5 linked regions of the Rattus norvegicus genome follow. The protein of the gene in region 5 interacts with the protein of the main gene of each other region in a pairwise test. Links are inferred from orthologs where the notes say so. Each region holds a gene or a part of one and is shown on either strand. Other genes may lie near its edges. The genes, in order: Rad51ap1, Upp2, Tmem43, Atn1 and Siah1.

The links.
Region 1: the proteins of Siah1 (region 5) and Rad51ap1 interact in binary tests that used the Homo sapiens proteins (3 or more experiments, as listed by UniProt). The two-hybrid records come from large-scale screens. The link is inferred for Rattus norvegicus from reciprocal best matches to the Homo sapiens genes SIAH1 and RAD51AP1.
Region 2: the proteins of Siah1 (region 5) and Upp2 interact in binary tests that used the Homo sapiens proteins (3 or more experiments, as listed by UniProt). The two-hybrid records come from large-scale screens. The link is inferred for Rattus norvegicus from reciprocal best matches to the Homo sapiens genes SIAH1 and UPP2.
Region 3: the proteins of Siah1 (region 5) and Tmem43 interact in binary tests that used the Homo sapiens proteins (3 or more experiments, as listed by UniProt). The two-hybrid records come from large-scale screens. The link is inferred for Rattus norvegicus from reciprocal best matches to the Homo sapiens genes SIAH1 and TMEM43.
Region 4: the proteins of Siah1 (region 5) and Atn1 interact in a two-hybrid assay, tested with the Homo sapiens proteins (2 studies listed by BioGRID and IntAct). The link is inferred for Rattus norvegicus from reciprocal best matches to the Homo sapiens genes SIAH1 and ATN1.

What each region holds. Positions count from the first base shown.
Region 1 is NC_086022.1:161,455,743-161,460,109, forward strand, and holds the start of Rad51ap1 (RAD51-associated protein 1), read right to left. Parts: upstream 2,818-4,367; 5' UTR 2,751-2,817; coding exon 2,734-2,750; intron 428-2,733; coding exon 372-427; intron 1-371. UniProt on the Homo sapiens protein: Structure-specific DNA-binding protein involved in DNA repair by promoting RAD51-mediated homologous recombination.
Region 2 is NC_086021.1:63,695,258-63,698,965, reverse strand, and holds part of Upp2 (uridine phosphorylase 2), read right to left. Parts: intron 605-3,708; coding exon 446-604; intron 1-445. UniProt on the Homo sapiens protein: Catalyzes the reversible phosphorylytic cleavage of uridine to uracil and ribose-1-phosphate which can then be utilized as carbon and energy sources or in the rescue of pyrimidine bases for nucleotide synthesis.
Region 3 is NC_086022.1:125,533,467-125,537,650, forward strand, and holds the start of Tmem43 (transmembrane protein 43), read left to right. Parts: upstream 1-1,377; 5' UTR 1,378-1,462; coding exon 1,463-1,474; intron 1,475-4,184. Other genes in the region: Chchd4 (mitochondrial intermembrane space import and assembly protein 40), read right to left, coding at 901-922. UniProt on the Homo sapiens protein: May have an important role in maintaining nuclear envelope structure by organizing protein complexes at the inner nuclear membrane. Required for retaining emerin at the inner nuclear membrane.
Region 4 is NC_086022.1:159,251,500-159,255,635, forward strand, and holds the start of Atn1 (atrophin-1), read right to left. Parts: upstream 2,880-4,136; 5' UTR 2,745-2,879; intron 2,582-2,744; exon of another isoform or gene 2,433-2,581; intron 1-2,432. UniProt on the Homo sapiens protein: Transcriptional corepressor. Recruits NR2E1 to repress transcription. Promotes vascular smooth cell (VSMC) migration and orientation. Corepressor of MTG8 transcriptional repression.
Region 5 is NC_086037.1:36,572,606-36,576,313, reverse strand, and holds the end of Siah1 (E3 ubiquitin-protein ligase SIAH1), read right to left. Parts: intron 2,453-3,708; 5' UTR 2,451-2,452; coding exon 1,602-2,450; 3' UTR 541-1,601; downstream 1-540. UniProt on the Homo sapiens protein: E3 ubiquitin-protein ligase that mediates ubiquitination and subsequent proteasomal degradation of target proteins.

The sequences.
Region 1 (4,367 bases), on a different chromosome or scaffold from region 5:
AGTGCAAAACAGACTTCTCTGAACTGAGAACTGCTAAAGTATTTGACTTAAAGGAGAATTTGGTGGTCTGGGAAGAGCATGTGTGAGGCCCTGGGTCTGATCCCCAGTAAACACTCTCCTCCCCAACGCACAACCCCAAAATACATAGCAACACACACACACATGCAGAAGAAAATTATCTTACTACAAGTGCACTGTAATCTAATGAAATGTTTCTCTAACTTTGATCAAAGTTCTGACAACAAAGACAAATATATGATCAATACAATGACAAAGCTTAAACCTAAGCTTTCAGGGTAAATTTTTCCATATCTGACTCCAAAGAAATACATTTCTCAATGTATTAAAGAAAAGTAAAAGGCTCTACTTACCATCAGAGTCATTGCCAGAATCCTCAAACTGTGAATAATTGACTGGTTTTTTATTTCTATGATCAAGACAGAAATTTTTCATTACTGTACATATTAATATTTTACCTTCACCTTAAAGTTTTTAATAGTCTTGAAGAAAGGAAAATGTGTTTGGAGTCTCTCAAAAGTACTTCAATCCAAAGCCAAGTACTTGGCATTAACGGAAACACCAAACCCATACCTAATACACATAATGAGAAGAGAAATTAATTCAGGAAACTCCCAAAGTAAAGAGAAAACAACTATTATCAATTAAGCTTTGTATTGTTTAGTGGCAACTGGGTATTTATAAACTGTGTGCCCTTCTTTGCTTACACTATAAAGTACCTGTTCAGTTTTAACCACATTTTAAAAATTCAGTTAGAGCAGAGCTGAGACTCCATGATTAAGAGCATGCACTGTTCTTTCAGAGGACATGAATCTGGTTCTCAACACCCATGCCAGGCAGCCCACAACTCCTGTAACTCCAGCTCCAGGAGGACTAAGAACCCTCTGACTTCCTCAGACATTGCACGCACATGAAACACCCACACAGACACCTAAAAACTCAAACCAAAGCCAAACAAAAAAACTTTAAAATAAATCCCCCTACAATACCAAATAATGCTTTCTTAATGGAATGCACACTTTACAGTAGTCTGTTCCCAGCATCTTTGTGGGAACTAAGAGGGCAGAGGAAAAGGATGCTCAATGTAGAAAGGTTCATCTCCTTCCTCTGGGAAAGCAATGTAAGGCTGCCCTGTCTTCCCCATGTGTACAAGTTCGTTCATCAGTTGCCGTTCTTTCAGGCAAAAATAGGAGTTCTGTGAAAAAGTGGCTTGTCCACCATTCAGCTCATGATCCAGACTTGTGTTTCCTTGAGAGAACGCACATCAAAAGGAAAGGTGTTCATGTTCTCTCCCACACGTCAGAGTGTAAGAATTTGACAGCTACATAAACTATGAAAGCATCTTTAGGAATTGTGGGATTGAAAAATAGTAAATAGAACCAAAAGCCTACTAAAAAAATAATATACTTGGGTTGAGTTGTAACAGACATGGATTCTTATTGATTCATTAAACACAAATTACCTACTGTATGTATTTTAGAGACTCACTGGAGTGAGATATGCAGGAAACCATTACTTTTTAAAAGCTCTTTTAAAATATGTGGATATGAAGGTGTCTGCGTGTGGGTATATGCACATGAGTACTGGGTCCCCCTGAGCTGGAAGAGTTGTAAAGTGTCTGAAGTGGTTAGGAACGGGACTTGGGACCTCTGGAAGAGCACCAACCACTCTTTTAACTATCGAGCCAGCCCATGAATGCTTCTGTTTTTAAAACAAAACAAAACATCTGAGTAGGTGGCAGTAGAAACTGCAAGGACTAACCAGCACAGTTCGACGTCACTGCCTCAATTTTTGTTAAGGTTCCAATAGTCCTATCATCATTGTAGTGTAAATGATAGAAGAGTGAAGACAGGTGGTTTGTAAACAAAGTACAACCAAAGTGAGCCGAAGTGGCTAAAGTCAACTGCTGTGCAACCTTAAACCCAACTCTGACTCCTGGATCCATGAGAAGGTGCAAGGAGAGAAAGGACCCCAAAGTGAGGCTTTTCTCCTTCCTCCTATGTTCCATTGTGGTGTTTATTTTGTTACCCCGCCCCCCATCTTCCAATAGGGTAAGCTCCAGCTCTTAATACAGTACAGGCCTAGGTGAATTCACTAAGTTAATTTGTTTGGTTTTGCAGGACTAGGGATTGAACCTGGGACCTCTCATCTGCTAGGCAATCAATCCACCACTGGGCCAGTCTCTGCAATATTCAGTCAGTCTACTAAATGGATAGCATCCCAGTTGTGATCACGGAGAGAGGATTCCAACTGTCTAAGGGAAAGCAGAAAAGGACTGGAGTCATGTGACAAGGCACCACGGCTTGAGCTGGATGTTCAGTTAAATGGGTCGCTCTTCTTAGGGATTTGAGGGGCTCAATATAGGCACGACTGCCTTTTCTGTATCGCTGGGCTGTTGTAGTGTTCAACATATGAAGGCCACATACATGGTCACTAGCGGCCACGTAAAGCGCGGTTCAAATGCCAACCTGCCGTGTCTCTCTGGGGTCGGGAGAGTCAGCGGGCAACAGCTGCAAAAGGAAGCCGAGAGGCGGAAAGCAGGATGCTAGGCGGGCCACTCTGAGCAGCGGGTGGCTCTCACCAGAGACTGGCGACAAGCACACAACCCCGCTGTCCTCTGTCCGACCCTGTCCTCTCCCTAAGCCATGTATGACAGTGGCCCCCAGCGTCCCCCGTTCTTCCTCCCTGCCCCGCGGGACGTCATCGACTACTCACCTGGTAGGGCGCACCATGGTGCCCTTCCTAGGACAGCAGCGACCTGGAGCTGGAGAGCAGCTGTGGCGGTTTCAATTCCCGCCCAAAACCAGACGTCGGGCTCCACGCCCCGGTACGCCAGCCCACCAATCATCGCTCTCCTGCCTAAGGCGGCGCCTGCGTACTGAGGAAAGAGCGCCTGCGCGCACACACCTTTGCCAGGGCACGGCATTCTGGATCCTGCCGCCCAGACCCAGAGTTTGTTTTGCTACTGCACTTTCGTCACAACAGCGATGTGGTACCAACTCTAAAATGCAATATAAAAGTAGGAACACGCCTCCAATATTTAGAATGATCAACTTAAAGATGACTGGAATAAAGGAGCTCTTGGATAGAGTTTTCTTGGCGCTTGAGAAAAAAAGAAACAGACGGGTACCGAATCTGCCGAAGCGAATCTGCTAACTGTACAAAACAAGCTAGAAGTCAGCTGACTTATTGGGCAGTTCTGCGTTGACAGCTCTAAGTGTGCCTTGGTGTTTGAGTGAAGAGGTGAGTTCGATCCCATAGCGAAGAAACCCCTTCAGTATGGAGGACCTAATGACGGTACCTGCTACAGGCTTAAAGAACAGAAGCAAGCTTTATGGGGGCTATCTAAAGTGCTGGAGTGCAGTTTGCCATTGACAGTTCAGTATTTGTGGAGAACTAGACTTGGAGTTTTGCATGCTGCTCTGGCAGGGTGTAGATAGGCACACCCAGAGAATCTGGAGATGTAAACTGGGTTAAGATGAATTTTATCCTGAAATCAGCAGACTGCACAAGCAAAGAGTAACATGAAAACGTGATTTTGTTCTGTTACATGTACACAGTGTATTCCGATTACTGTCTCGTTCACCTCATATCGCACCCGTCCCTACTAACTTCCCCATCCCTACTAGTCTCCGCATCTCCACCAGTATCCTTTCCAGATTCATGGCGTTGTTTTTGTTTGTTTTTGTGACCCAATATCTTATCCAGAGCAGATGTGTGAGCATTGCAACTACTCGTTGGAGCCTGGTGGGGGCACCCGTGAACACACATCTGAAAAAACTTATCTTTCCTGAATCTGCCCATAGAAAACAGTTCCTTATTGGCACATGGGTCCTTCTGAGTCTTTCTCTCGCCTCCCTTTGCTGTTGATGGGCCCAATCTTATGCAGACATCTGACACTGCAGTGAGTTTATGATTGTAATGGCAGTATCTTGTCAGAAGATGGCATTGTTTTCTTCTCTATGTTCTGGTTCCTATATTTTTCCACTTCCTTTTCTGCTGTGTTCCTTGAGCCTTCAAAGGGGTGGTATAAATGTCTCATTTAGGGCCGAGTCCCTATCTACCACTTGTTCTCAGCACCTTGTGTCACCTGGAGACTCTCCACTCACTACTGTTCCCTGGAAAGAAACAGTTCTCTGATTAAGGCTGAGAATAGTGCTTGTCTGTGGGTAAACATAAATATTTAGGTGGTTTGACCTTGTTCATTTAACTGAACAACAGTATTTACATTTCTCCTTAGGGCCCATCATCTTCCCTACTATGGGTTTCTGACAGGGATTATAGTGCCAGGTAGGGATATGCTCCAATGGAGCTGACCTCAAATCCAGTCAGAGAAAATTGGATACCCT
Region 2 (3,708 bases), on a different chromosome or scaffold from region 5:
GCTATCAGGTTCTGACAGAGAGCAGAACGCATCACAAGACCTCAGTGCAAATGCGCTTGCTGCTTTTCGGCAAGTTTATTTGTGTTAAATTTTAACAATCCTGAGAATTGGCCTCTATGAGTAGCTCAAGGCTCCTAAAGCCTTGATAAAAGAGGAAAGGAAATGGCTAGGAAGGGGACCATGTTGATCAGTTAGGAATAGAAAGAGAGATGAGCTTTGAAGACTTTTGCCCTTTCCTAATAGTTAAGTAGTGAGTATAAAGGCAGGTAGTGACCCTGCATGCTCTGCCCTGTCCCAAAAACCTTTTCCCAGTTGTATTAACTTCTTCACTTGCGTTCCTTGTGTAAGAGGACACAGCAGCATGGAGAGAGAACTGTGTTCAGATGGTCCCAGTTTGGTGTGCATCCCACAAAGTCTAGCTGGCCTGCAGCCGTCCCCTACTTACACTGAGGGAGAGCACAGGGCCTGTTTTGAACATGCAGTATCTGTCTGTCCCCGCACAGATGTCCTCGATGTCGTCTCCATCTCCCTCCAACCCGAGTTCCTTGTGCATAAACAGTGCAAACGCTTTCATTCTGTTCGAGCTCCCACCAACGCAGACAAACTGTCAACAAAAATGAACGGGTGCCTACCGTCATCACTAGGATAAGAGCAAGGGGCAACATCCGGTTCTAACGTTTTTGTTTTTGCAGCGCATTTAATTTACTTCTGAGTGTGCGTAGATATCTTTGATTGTGTTCAAAATTTGGCTCATTTACGTCATTAACCTGAAAAGAGGCAACTAGTTGAAATGCATTATGTACTAAATTAGTGAAGAAAATCATGTAAATGTTCACATTGTTCAAGGAGGTGTTTCCTGGTGGTGTGGTAGCATCAGCCGGCATCTTCATGGCTATAATCATCCTAGTGGGGAGCACTCACGTGACACGTTTAGTGTCAAGTGCTAAGGATGTAGATTGTAAGCACTTGCCAGTTTTACTGTTTTCTGTGTATCCACCCTAATCGGGATCCTTTATTTTAAAATTTACTATGATACCCTCAACCTTTATAGGAAGCATCTCAAGACTTTCCTTCACTGAGAAAAAAATCATAATGGAACACGGCTTGTTACTGTAAGCTCAGAACTTGACTGCAGTTGGTCATCCATCCCACTAATTTGCTTTTGTATTTATCTTGTTCTCTGACTTTAGGGTAGATGTTGCAGTCAAAGGTTGTCATGCCTAATAAAATGTGTTGATAATCAGCAGTTAGGCATGGTAACGCATACCTACAGCCAGAGTTCTAAGACAGGAGGATTATGAGTTTGACAGCAGCCTGGACTGCATAGTGCTTTTGATGCCAGACCAGACTATATAGTGAGACCCTATCTCAAGAAGAAAATTATAATTAGTTGTGTCACAATCTGTTAGTGATACGTCAACCCCAAGGATGGAAGAATATGCCAGAGAGAAAGGAAAGGAGTGTCCTGTTGGTGGCCTCCATGAGTAGGCATCCAGGTGGGTACCAAGCAGGATTAGCAACAGAGAGAGGGGTCTGAAGGCCAAGAGGAAGCAGAGCACACAGAAGGTTGTCAGGCAGAAATCTACTCTGAAACAAAAGCCGTGTGGTATGGTGCAAATGTGGTGTGGTGTGTCATAAGAGAGGGAGCATGTGTGGTGTGATATATACAGTATGGTGTATGTGATATGGTCTATATGGTATGATGTAAGAGATGTGGTATATGTGGTATAGTATATGTGATATGCTATATACGGTGCAGTATTATGGCATGGTATATGTGATACAGTATGTTGATGTGGTATATGTGGTGTGGTATATATGGTGCAGTATTATGGTATGCTATATGTGATACAGTATTTTGATGTGCTATATGTGGTATGGTATATATAATGTGGTATATGTGATATGGTATATATGGTGTAGTATATGTGGCATGCTATATGTGATACAGTATGTTGATGTGGTATATGTGGTATGGTATATGTAACGCGGTATATATGATGTCGTATACATGGTGTAGTATATGTGGTATGCTATATGTGATACAGTATGTTGATTTGCCATATGTGGTATGGTATATGTAATGTGGTATATGTGATATGGTATATATGGTGTAGTATATATGGTATGCTATATGCGATACAGTATTTTGATGTGCTATATGTGGTATGGTATATGTAATGTGGTATATGTGATGTGGTATATATGGTGTAGTATAAGTGGTATTCTATATGTGATACAGCATTTTAATGTGGTATATGTGATGTGGTATATGTAATGTGGTATATGTGGTGTGGTATATATGGCGTGGCGTATAGAGTGAAGTACAGAAAGCAAAAGCCAAGGAATGCTGGACAGCTGCCATTTGAGTGTAGGCACACTTGGCTTTGAGCACTAGCTCACCACTGATTAAGTCACTTGCTCAGCAACACACGAAACCTTTATATTCCTCAGATCATCATCTCTGGCACTCTCAAGTTTAATCAGGATGAAGTAGGACTGAATTTAACAAAGGACCAGGCATGGATCCTGGAACCTTCTCAGTGTCCACATCTGTGGACTTCTACCTTTCATATCAGATAACACTGCTCTGGCCTGCATTTTGAGCCCACATCTCTGGTGCAGAATTCAGTTAAAAATGAAGCCAACTTAAGTTTTCTTGGGGGGAAAAAGACACTTAGTGGTGCCTGGCTGATGTGGGCAGTTTTGGGCAGAAGAGCCAAGGAAGGCTAGCAAGGGCCTTCGCAGGGGCTGTCTGAAGAAATTCCTGAGGTTGTTGAGTGGGTGTCCTTCATGTAAGAGATCAACAGAAGTATTGGGTGGTCTGATCTCATGATGCATCCTGTTTCCACTTAACAGTAATTTCTGGGCAGCGTACAGTAACTTTCAATCACAGGACGTAATTACTCTTTTTTGTCTGGGCATTGCTTCTCATCTGCCCTCTCTGCTGCCTTCTCTGGAATTCTCTAGGAGGTTTTTCGATGGGGCCTTAAGGTAGTAATGAAGCCAGCCTTAAAGGCTAGAGACAAGACAGCAAGGCAGGCCATGTTTAAGGTAAGCCTCGAATACTATTGATTATTCATGGACTTTGCTCCTTTCTTGTTATGAGTAGTTAAGCACTTTCTTGCTGTGCGTAGGTCAAGGTCTAAGTACAAGAAGGCCCCTTTTAATATACAAAATACAGGAGATTGAAAATAACCTCACAGTGTGGTGCCAGTACATCTAAATTATAATCATTTGCATTGACCATAAAACCAAAACAGATGTTAGAATAGTTTGCAGTTTGTGTTCTGCTTTGAACTGTAGATATTACAGTAATCAGGCAGAATGTCTGCAGATTTCTGGAGACATGCATAGACAGAAGCAAGCTTAGCTCCTGACACCTACTCCCAGATTCACTAAGCATCGCCTGTAGACACCATGACCAGCCTGGCTGCTTTAATAAGAAATAACACACAGCTGAAGACCACCGGCCAACATTGGTCACCAGTGGCACTGACTGTGATTTATGTTCCAAACAAAATGATCTTTGTCCAGGATTTATCAAAAAAGGTAGAAATGCATTGGGCAGGAATAAAGCATTATAAAAATATTTTCAGGCTTTTGCCTAACGACTTCCAGAACAAACTCACCTTCAAACATCCCCAGTAGCTTAAAAGGTTTTGCCATATGGCATTAATTTACAACACAGAGTTTATGCATTTTGTA
Region 3 (4,184 bases), on a different chromosome or scaffold from region 5:
GTGGACTACTTCCTCCTTTATACTTCAGGTTCCCTAGACTTAAGAGTAAAGGAGCTTAGAATTCTGGGTGAACTACGTCTTTCTGTAGCTTTGTATTCTCAAGAGTCCTCCCAACTCTTTCCTGCCTTGGGCACGTGCTTCATGAATACCAGAGTAAATGATGCCTGGTCTCTCAATTTACAAGAGTGGAAACTAGGGCCTGGAGGGTTTGGCAGCTCAAATATAAGGAGCCAGTTAGTGCTGGGAGGCCTTAGAGCAGACTGGTCTGGATTCTTCTGGGCTCCTGTCTATGGGTAATAGGTAGAGGAAGTGAGTGATCCTCAACGTGGCTAGAAATGACGGAAGAAAGCAAGTCCTTTCGTATAGGGCTCCAGTTTCATGACCTGATGTGGGCTCTTGGATCGAGTAACCTGTCCTAATTTACCGTTTGATAAAAATGTGGATAGTAAAAGAACCCGATATATAAAGACCGCTACGTGAAATTTAAAAGAGTGCCTAGTAAACAGGAGGAGCTCAATAAGTGCTCCTGCTAGTGGCACTTCAGCACACCCACTCAAGCCCAAGTGGTAATTTTCCGGGATATTTAAAAAGCCTAAGCGGGAGAGAAACATGTGGTGAGTGCGAGGAGCGACGGGGGCTGATTCCTAACAGTCCCCGATTTCCAGCCAGATACAACATACTCCACACTAGCAGGGCCCACGTGAGGGCCTCCGAGGCCCGAGTTCGGGCTTCACCTTGACCTTGGACCAGCCTCGTTCCTCACTGAGCCTCTGCCTTTCTCATTTGGAAACCGCCGCGTGAGGCCCACTAAAGGGCCCGCAGCCGCTCGATGGAAACCACTAGACCGCGTGTCTCTCGCAGGCCCGCGCCGGCCGGTCTCCATGGCAGCGCCCGACTCACCTTCCTGCCGGCAGTAGGACATGGTTGTTCTCAACGTTCCCAGCTCGCAGAGGGAGCAGGCGCGGCTACAGCGGCTACACCTTCTCGTTGTGACCTCCCTCGCCTCTTCTCAGGCCTGGCGGGTGGCACTGAGGCCCACACGGACCCGCCCCCTCCAGGCCTGCCCGCCGCGCGCCTGCCTCCGCTCGTCCTAAGCGCCAGCACCGCTTCTCAGTCGAAAATACATTGACCAGCAGCCTTTGCGCCCGCCAACTAAAGCTATACTACATTTCCCAGAAATCTTGCAGCGCGCACGCGCACCAGTGAAATATTGTGTTTTGTAATTTTGTGGTGAAAGCGTCCGACGTCCGACTACATTTCCCAGCAATCCTTGAGACGCGCATGCGCAGACAACTTGAGACGTAGGCGGGGCCGTAACTCTTATCCCGAGTCCCGCCAGGTCCTGGATTCCTCGAGGAGTCTTGCAGCTCTGTGGCAGACAGGACACCGTATTCTGCGTTCCGGTCGTCATCCCAATTCCTAGAGGAACAAAGCAAGACGGCGGCAGCGAACCAGGCCCACCATGGCAGCGAACGTGAGTGCTTCCTGATCCCCGGGTTACACCATTATCTGGGTCGTTTTTCCCCTAGGTTTGCGCTGGGTCCTTCGGCCTTGCGACCCCAGTGGGTGCGGCTGCCCTCAGCTCCCTGAACTCGTCTATCTCGGGCTGCACGTTTGTGGGACTCAGCTCTTAGTCGAATCCGCTCGTGCACGGCTGCTTCTTCCACTCCTAGTTTCTTTCTGGGCCCCTGGGGATATAAAACTTGTGGAACTGAAGGACCACGAGAAAAGTGTCTGTCGGTGAGCAGATTAAGGTGCTCCTGCCCAGGTGGAGCTGTCCAACAAAGGCTGCTTTGGTCTCCGCTCCCTAGGGGGTGTGTGCTCCTAGGCTGTGATGTAGCAGGACAAGCCTGGCTGGATGACCTAGAAAGGGAGGCTTTTCTCTACTGCTCGGTTCCTGGTGCACTGATTTGGGTAGAGACCCTGACTGAAGATAGTTGCCCCAGACCTCTGGCCATTTCCTACTGCAACTAGTCCTTAACTTTCCTAGTGAATCCTAACATTCATTCAACAAACGGAGCAACACCACCTACTAGGGGACTGGGTGTGGAAGAAGCTGGTGACTCATAAATGCCTCTGGTGAAAGCGCCTCTGGAACCAGCTCAGGAGCACTGCCAGCCCCAGTCACACCCTCTCTCCCTCCTTGGTAGAGTGTCATTGCAGCCATCCTTGGGCCTGTTACACCCTCTTCCCAGGCCCCTCCTCTGTCCTCAAACTTCTTGGCCTCCTACACCTCCTGGGAGATCAGAGTTTGTTTCACCCACTGTCCAAGCAATATCTGCTTGGCACATTGTCCGGCCCTAGAAGGGGAGGAGAACCAAAGGTTAGGAATGCTGCACTGGAACCAGAGGAGAAGGCAACCAGCAGGCCAGCCGGGCAAGAGTGGGCGGACCCCTTCGGATCCATATGTTCAACGTCAAATTTTACAGTTCCCCAGCAGAAGACACCTGCTTGGGGGCTTTTAGACAGTTTGGCTTGCTATATCATCAGCCTGGGAAGGTGCAGATGAGGGCAGGCTTTGGAGGCAAATCCAGATTCTTCCACTCTTAACAAGCCTCTGGGTTTACCCTCATGGGATCAGTTACTGTGAAATTTGAGGGAGGTTGCTGGGCACAGAGCCTGGTACATGGGAGGTGCTTAATCCTTGAAAAAGTCACACTTAGAGGCTAGTACACACAGCCCTGGTGGGCAGAAGCCATCTTGGGTCTGACTCTCACACCAACAAACAGACACAATGGATATCTTCAGTAAGCGTGCCTTTGTCCATCCATTGTTACGTGACTTTCCCGGGAAGACATGAACATTCATCCATGTCAGTCAGGATAATCATAGACCAAAGGAGCCATTGCACCAACTCCATCTTGGTGAACCATCTTGGGCTTACTCACAGGAGCGTGGGTATTACCAGAGTCCCACGCCGGCATGGGTGACTGCCTCTGGAAGGCTGCCTAGATGGAGGTGTGTGCCCTCCCTTCCACTAGCCCTCTGCCTCCTGTATCCTCTGCACACTGCTGGGGGTGGGACACAGAGGGAAGTGAGAAGCCAGAATCCCAGGCAAGGTTATAAAGATCCTCTTCTACTCTTCCAGGGAACGTGCCGCATAATGTGAGGGCTTCATTTGGGCAATCTAAGCTATTCCGATTTCAATATGACAGTGGCTCTGCCGTGCCTAGGGACGGTACCAGAGCATCCACGCAGTAGCTGAGTCACCAGGCAGGGTAAGCAAGGGAATCTTAAGACAGTGAGTGGAACAAAAGCCCCTGAATTCAGTATAACAACTTTCCTGTCAGGTAGGTGTTGTCACCAGCAAGTGAGGAACCAGAACCAGAAAGGCGGAGCACATGTTGCCAGGCTCATATAGCAACAGCTGGGACTCCAATCCTGGTGTGCCAATTTCCAGGCCCAGTGTGTTCCCACCCATTGCTTCATTGCTTGTTGATTCTGAGCCCGGTGTGCTGGAAGTGGAACACGTTACTGTGGATACATAAGTGTGTATACATATACACACACATATACACACAGGTGCTATTTCCCACCTCACCTCTCTCCCAGCTGGAGGGACGTCTTCCTGGTTTCCCTTCCTTCCTGGCCTTAAGGGGAGCCAGCAGGGATACACGTCTCCTTTTCCGTTGTTCAGCCTGAATTGCGCTAATCGATGAAGAAGACAGTCTAGGGTAGAGGGCCCTCCCTGCATTGCACACCCACTTACTACTTACAAGGTGTTGAACCAGGCTGATAACCTAAACAGTGGGTCTCGATTTCTTCTTCTGTGAAATGGGTAGTGGTAGCCTCTTTACCCTTGAGCCAGCCCATGATTGGCCTGTAACAAATGAGTATGTCATTTTGGGCATCTGCTGGCTTATGGCTGCCTTCTTGTCTGCAGTGGTTGTCTCCACTGAGTTTTATATGGTATTGTTCTGGATACCGTGGGTGTCCTCAGCAGGCCTGAGCCAGCAGTGGACAGCCGCCAGAAGTAGCATTAGCTCTGCTCAAGGATTCTGTCTCAAATCCATCCTCTGATCCTGGGCAGGAAGGGGCCTGGCTCTCTGAGGTGCCTGCCAGGTGACCACTTTGTATCTCTGTGACTTCCATCCACACCCACAGTCTGGGTGGCAGCTCCAGTTTCAATTGTGGAGAAATCTGATAATGTTCCTATTAGCCACAACTCCCACAGGTGCCTATGA
Region 4 (4,136 bases), on a different chromosome or scaffold from region 5:
GTCACTGAGCCTTTCTTACCTTTTTTAATCAGCTGAAATCTGATAGAAAAACAGTGTTCAGTGGGGCGGAAGTTCCTGGGATAAAGATGGGCAGAGGAAGGGATGGGACTGAGGCTGGGGCCAGAGCATAGGTTAAGTCTGAACACAGGTACCGTGGGGCTGTAAAACTAACTGGCCAAATGGCGCTCCATCTTACCTAAAGGCTGCCTTTAACATTTAGAAGCATCTACCGAGGACAGCCACACACATTTTCCTCATTCCCTCCTCACAAAAGGAAAACAAGGAAGGCCAAAACCAGGAAGGCAGGGAAATGAGAAATCAGAAAAGAGTTCATGAGTAGGCAGAGAAAACGGGTGTGGAACAGAGACCCGGGACGAGAGTTCCAGAAGCCCTGGGTTACATCCCCAGCACCTTATAAAACAGGGTGTGGTTCTTGCCTGCAATCTCAGGACTGCAGAGGTAGGGGCAATTTCAAGGTCATTTCCTTAGGCAGTGAGTTCAAGGCCCGTTCTGGATATAAGTCCATCTCAAAACCAAACAAAAACCAGAGATCGCTACTGAAATGAATGACCTGAGTTGGACCATGGGGCCCACATGGCGGAAGAAGAAAACGAACTCAAGTTACCCTCTGACCTCCGAATGTGCACCACAGCACACACACAAATAAATATAATTAAATTAAAAAAAAAAAAAAGAAAGTAAGGAACAAGTCTGCAAATATGACAGGAATGTCAGAAAGTGACCACGTCACAGATTCCCTGGGAAGAGCATAAAGGGTGTGTTTCAGGGTCACCGACCACCCCTCATAATTCTAGATTTGCCAGATTAACAGTCAGAGGAAAGTGACCAAGACATCCACGAGGCACAGACCAGCAGATAACAACGTAGCTCCCTAAGTCCTGTTAGAACCCAGGTCTGTTGAAGGAGCCAGGGGTCATTTCATCATACAATGAAGGTGAAGCTCAAAGATGAGAGAAGTGACTTGCCCAAGGTCATAGAGGAACATGGAGAAGTACACCTGGGTCTCCAGAGCATCCGGCTCTGCTCTAGGCTGTTTCACAGCCCTCCCCTGGGCCACCCTCACCCAGACAGGCATGAAGAACCATGCCATTTCTGTAAGTCCAGAATAAAGGCCAAAGGGCATTTGAATGAAAGGGTCACCCTGAGAAATGACAGGAGAAGAGAGATCCAAAGAGGAATTCAAGAAAATAAAACAGTTCAAAGAATCAACTGTTTATAAGACAGTAAGAGTGGTAGAGACCGACAGAAATTGCCCACGGGGGTATAACTTGGTTTTTTTATTTTGTTTTTGGTTCTGGAGCTCAAATCCGGGGCCTATGTATGCATGCTAAGAAATAACACTACTGAGCTACACCCCCCAGCCCAAGACCACATAGTCTGAACAACAATATTTTCATCTTTCCACCATACCCAGGTAGAGACTGGCAAGAATGACCTGCAAGCAACAGGGTTACTTGTTCCAAAAGACTTCTGGAGGAGAAGGGGTGCACCTCCTCAGGAGACCCCTACTTGGGGCAACACCAGAAATACCTACCAGAGATCTACCGCCCACCAAGGACAAAGCTATAGGCTGACTGAGGCCCAATCTACATACTGAATCCCCACCTATTGGACTCCCCACTGGCTCACTGCCATGACAACTAAATGGATAAAAAAAAGGGCCCCCCAAGAGACCATCCCAGGGGTCCATCTGGCTGCCACTATTACCACCTTAGTTGCCAAAGCAACTCCGACCTTCTCACGGTACCCTCAGGGAAGGGAGCTTTAGAGTAACCCGCCCCAGGCACAAAGGGAGATCTTTGAGATCAAAGCAGTAAGGAAGACCTCCTAGATAGAGCCCAGCTACGGGGCATCCAACGCTTGGGGGTGAGGGCGGAGGTCACAATTCCTTGGAATGCCTATATGATTGCCCAATCCTCTCTTCTTTCCCATCCTCCCAACCTTTCTAATTCCTCCTTCAGAATTGCTGCCTTTCTTATTAGTGTTAGGAGGACTCACACTACTAAGCCTCAGTGGCCCCCTTCACGAAGTAACTAGGTCTGGGATTAGCAAAACAGGGTCAGAGGTGACCGGGAGTGGGGTAAAAGAAAACTGAGTCACAAAAGATACGGCCTTCCCATTTCCACCCCCAGAAAACGTCCGTCTTCAAAAAGATGGGCCTCTCCTGGTTCATCTCCATTCCCCCCCAGGTTCAATTCCCCCCTCTCGGCTACCACAATTCTCCTTTTACCACCTACCACACCCCTTTCCCTGTTCCCACTTCCCTGTTCCTAAAACCCGCAACCCTGGGTTCTGGAACACGGATTCTGGGCCTGTGGGGCTACTGGAGCCTGCACGCCCCACCTCGCTGCCATCTCTCCGATCCGTCCTGCCTTCTCCGCGAACCACCCGCACAGCATCCCCCGGTTTACCTCCGCCAAGTCTCCACCTCGGCGTTCCTCCCCTTTAGGCTCTGGTCCTGGCGACGCTCTGCCCCGTCAGCCCTCCTACCAAGACCCTCCTCCCCCCCACCTCCCGAGCTCGCGACTCCCGGGCCCGCGTCCCTCCTCCGGGCGGCCCCACCCCCTGAGTCCCCAGCCTCGGGCCCGGTCGTGCCCGCAATAAGGGAACGCGACCGGGAAAATAACAAATGGAGGCGGCGGCGGGAGGGGGGACCGGGAGGGTGGGGGCGGGGAGCCGCGAGCCGGAACGGGGCGGCCCGGGCCGGCGGCGGCGGACCTTACCTGCGAGCGGCTCGGGACGGCTGGCTGGCAGCGAGTGCAGTCGAGCTCCGGCGCCTCCCGGGGACGGCGGCGACCACTCCCCGCCCCTCCTTGTTGCGCGGCTTCAGTCGCTGCCGCGGCGGCGGCGGCGGCGGCCCCGGCCCCCCCGGAGGGCGGCCCCCATGCCCGGCTCCCCGCGCAGCCCCGATCGGCTTCTCGTGCTCCTCGCCCGCCCTCCCGCCCGGAACGCGCCGCCCGCCCCCGCCGCGCCGCCCGCCTCCGCCCGCACTCGCGGCCCCGGCGAGGTCCGCGACCCCCGACCCTCCCGCCGCTCGTGCTGCGCGCCCCTAGCCCGCCCCGAGTCCTGCCACCCCAAAACACGTCCTGGCCCGAGGCCCCGGCCGGCGCGGGGCTGCGGGCGGACGGACGGGCTGGGCCGCGCGTCCGGCGACTCGCACAGGAAAGCGGACGGCGGAGGGAGGGCGCTCGGGAGAGGGGGATGGGAGCAGGGAGGAAGAGGGAGAAGGAGGGAGCGCGGAGGAACGGAGGAGAGAGAGGGGCCCGGAGGAGACGCGAGGGAGGGAGCGCGCGGCAGTCGGGGGGCGGAGGATCGGGGAAGGGGAGGCGCCGGGCGAGTTGGCCGAAGCCGGCCGGGGCGCGGAGAGAGAGGGCCTCGCGGCGCAGAGCGTGGGGAGCTCGCGGGCCCCGCGCGGGAGAGGGCTGGGTGGGAGGGGCTGTGGACTCCGAAGGCAGACCTGGGGAGGCTGGAGAAGTTTGGGGACAAGAGGAGCGGTGGCAGGGGTGAAGTAGGTGGAGTTTGGGGGAATACTGAAGTAGAGATTTGGATAATGGGGCTGTATTGGACAGATGGAGAGGAAGGGCAGGAAGCTGAGGCTGGAGGGGTTTAAGAGCTATTTCCGAGAGACTACGATGGAAGTTTGTGGACCTGGGCGGGAAAGGATGAAGAAGACACCCTAAGAGAATGGCGTTTCTGGAAGAGATAAGAGTTTAAGACGGCGATTGGTGTTAAAAAGAATGCAAACCACAAGAATTTGGGAATGATGAAGGGAGGCTGGAGGAAAGTCCAGAGATACTTCTGTGGGAGAGAAGGAAGGCATGAGAGGTCTCAGAAGTGGGGGTGGGGGAGAGCGGCCGCGGGGTCGGTGGGGGGTGGGTGGGACATATGCCCGTTCTAGGGTTTGGGATGGGTTGATAAAACCTGAAGGTGGGGACTTCCAATCCAACTAAGAACTATTTCCTTTGGCAAATACAGTGGAGGAGAATTAATTAGGCCTGGAAGGAAACACAAGATAAATAGGGTCTGCGTGGTATCGTGGTGGGACAGTCAGTGATAGGAAAAGAGAAGAGCTAGAGACAGGGAACACTAGAGGAGTCCAGGAGGGTCCGGGCCCT
Region 5 (3,708 bases):
CCTATGAGGCGGTGTTTCAGGTTAAGTACTTGGTCCTCATTTAACCGTACACACACTCACCAGACTTAACTCCATCTACACATTAGGAGACTGGGCCCAAGGTCAGACAGATGGTTAAGTTGGGTGGAGGTAAACTGGTGCCTAGAAACTTGAAAATCAGACTGCAGAGTCAGTACCACACCACTGGAGCTAGGAAAGGATAAAATAACTCACCTTTTTTCACAAAGGAAAAGAATAATCAGCATTAATTAGTCATATTCCCAATGTCCTAATGGAATGAAAGTGGGAGGGAGAGCTGTCCAGTCTTTTCTGTGATTTAAAATAAAACATACTTCAAACAGTGGCATACAATCCTCTGCTCTAAAATACAGACCGGAACAGGAAACTACCTTTGGAGTTTATCCATCTTAGGGCCACAGGGTGAGGGTGTAGCTCAGGGTAGAGCATCTGCCAAGTGCTAGGCCCTACATTCAGTCCTCAGCTCCAGGGAAACAAAAAACAAAAACAAAAACCTAGAGCTAAAGTAAACACATTAAAATGTTTTTTAATTTGCCAGATAATCTTTTAATGAGAATTATAAAAGACCAAAAACATTTTTTTGCAAACTGCCTTTTTTTAAAAACAAATGATTTACTTTAATTACAAATACTGTGTATGATGATGCACTCTTTTGCAAAACCAATAAATACAAGAACCAATTTAAACATGTGATTTGCCCAAGACATTTGAAGAGAGGAAAAGCCTGATTATTTTATAATTTATAGTGATCAGAGTTTACTCCCTAAGCTAACCTTTCAGAGAGTAAGCCTGACCTGACGGCGTAGGACAGCAGTCGGGAGGCGAGACCATCCTGTACTTGCTTCAGCCTCGACGAGCTGCTCTGCTCCCTTTCCTTTCTGGAATTCCTATTTCCACAGAAGGGCTGAATTAAAAATGTCTAATAAATTGATTGAAGGAAAAGAAAGTATGTACTGAACACAAACTTCTGACATTAAGCAATTATGGATATCAAAAAGACGCTAACTTAAAAGGTACAAAAGTGAGAAAAACCTGAATTACAGAAAAGAAAGTCAAATTTATTTAATGAAAAACTAGAATAAAAATTAGCAAATACACACACACCAAAAAACAAAACAAAAAACAAAACAAAAAACAACCCCACAGCAGCACTGTGTGTTGACTCACAAGGGGAAAGCGGTGGCCCATGACCACGCAGATGGCTTGTCAGTTAAAGGAAAACCAACCACACACGTGCACGCATGCGTGCACAGACACACACCCCCAAAAAATTGTCAACAATACAATCAATCTACAACAAACACAAAGTTCAGAAATATTTTACAATGTTTCCTTTCTTAATACAAAAGATGCCCATCTTGGGTATATATATTTTTCAGTGGTTTACTGTTGAATTATTTTTAAATATATTAGTGTTACTACATGCAACTGTTTCCTGTATTAACAGCTTTTCTTTTTATTTACCTTCATGTCTAGCTTCTACCTACCAGGAGAGGTTTAGGTTGGCAAGCAGATGGGTGCCTTATTCTCTGTGAAGTCAAATGCAAATTTTAAACACTGGCCAGAAATATTTGATTGCCGTTTCAACACATGGAAATAGTTACATTGATGCCTAAATTGCCATTTTCTGCAAAGAGCTGTGCAATGCTGGTGTCAAACACTAGGCAGTCACTATTCATGATGGCTGTTGCAATTCCCTCATGAATAGACCGAGGGGTGGCTTCCCAAGTCAATCGCCGCCTATGACCATTCAGCTCAAGTCGATATGCAAAATTTTCAGCTTGCTTGCGTGTTCCTATCAGCTGTACAATCGCAAAGAACTGCTGATGGCCATCGTATTTTTCTTGTTTCTCCAAGACTAACATGAAATGAAAGCCAAAACAAGACTGCATCATCACCCAGTCAACAGCACCAGGAAGGTTAATGTCTGTAGCAAGGAAAACTATATCTTCTCCTTGCAGGGTGGTAATGGACTTGTGCTGATGCATCAGGTGGGGCATGACAGCATCCAAGGAGCCTTGCCACTTACAGGAAGCACCAGGGCAGGGGCAGGAGTAAGGCCTGAACTCACAGAGCTCCTCGTGCTCTGCCTTTTCGGTGTGCGGCAGAGTTATCTCACATCCAGAAGAGGCATATTTACAAGGGAAGAGTACGGAGTTGGCCACTTTCTCCATAGCCAAGTTGCGAATGGATCCCAACGGGCCCCGGCAGGTGGGACAACATGTAAGTTTGGGGCGACAGTTGCTACAAACAAGATGGCCACTCTGACACTGAAGAATAGGTGGCAATACATAGTCAAAGCAGACAGGACACTCGAAAAGACTCGCCAAGTCATTGTTGGATGCAGTTGTGCCAGTCAAGGCAGGTACCCTCTGGGATGGTGGACACTTTGAGGTGCCGGTGGGTAATGCTGTAGCAGTCTGACGGCTCATCTCTGTAAAGGAAAACAAGAAAATAAAAGGAAGCAGGGGGAAAGTTACAAATATAACACATTAGTAGATATGTATGTATACATGTCATAAATACTTGTAAAGCATACCACAAAATTTATCGTGAATAAAAGAATAAAATTAAGTAAATATAGTTTTAAATCCATATACAAATAAAATAAAAATTGAACGCTAAAGGTTAATTTTCTGGAGTTATATAATGAGTAAACTGTATTTCCAAAATGTTCTCCAGCATGTTTAAAATACTTTTTTGTTCTTAAAGCAGTGGAAATCTCTGGGTGGACTACACAGAATAAGAATCGCACCAGGCATTGTGGCCACACCTTTAACCCTTGCACTGCAGACACACATACAGGTGGGGATCAGGGAGTTCGAGGTCAGCCTGGTCTGCATACATAGTTTCAGGCCAAGCAGGACTACATATGAAGACCTAATTTCAAAAAAGTTCCTAAACAATAAAGAACTACAAAACTGTCTTTGTCTTAAGAACTTAAATACAGCTGGGCAAGATGGCACAAGCCTTTAACTCCCAACATTTAGGAGGCAGAAGAAAAGGAAAGAAGGAAGAAGAAAAAAAAGGAAGGAGGAAGGAGGAGGAGGAAAGGATGAGGAAGAGGAGGAAGAGGAGGAAGAGGAGGGGAAGAGGAGGAATATAAATTAAATACAGGGCTGGAGACTGGAGAGATGGCCTAGCAGTTAAAAACACTGGTTGGTCTTCCGGAGGACCAGTGTTCAAATCCCACCACCCAAATGGCTGCTCATTAGAGGCAGCCAGGGCACTCAAACATATTATGAGCAGATAGACATGCAGGCAAAGCACCCATTCACATAAAATAAAAACAAATCTTTTTTAAAAGAAGAAAACCTTAAATTACAATATAAACTTTATTTGGGCTGGACTTTTTTCCCGAGTCTCCACCTCCATCTATTTTTTCTCAAGTCTGAGTTTGCTCATAGCTTCAGGACCTACTGCTTTAGTCCTATGAAGTTCATATGCCAAAGACCATTAGAGCCGGGTCAACTCTTCCCAGCATGAACAGCATCATCACTAGAACTGTGCTCTGGGAATGGGCTCAGAGGTCACAGGGGAAGGAAACCCTGCCATCCTGTTATCTGCCTGCAGACGTCTACTCAGTCTTTTATTAAGGCAGCCAGGTATCACTTCTGTCTCCCATCAGTCAGTGCGTTCATCTGAAGACTGAAGGAATATAAGAAGTGGAGAAAACCACAGAAGATCAAA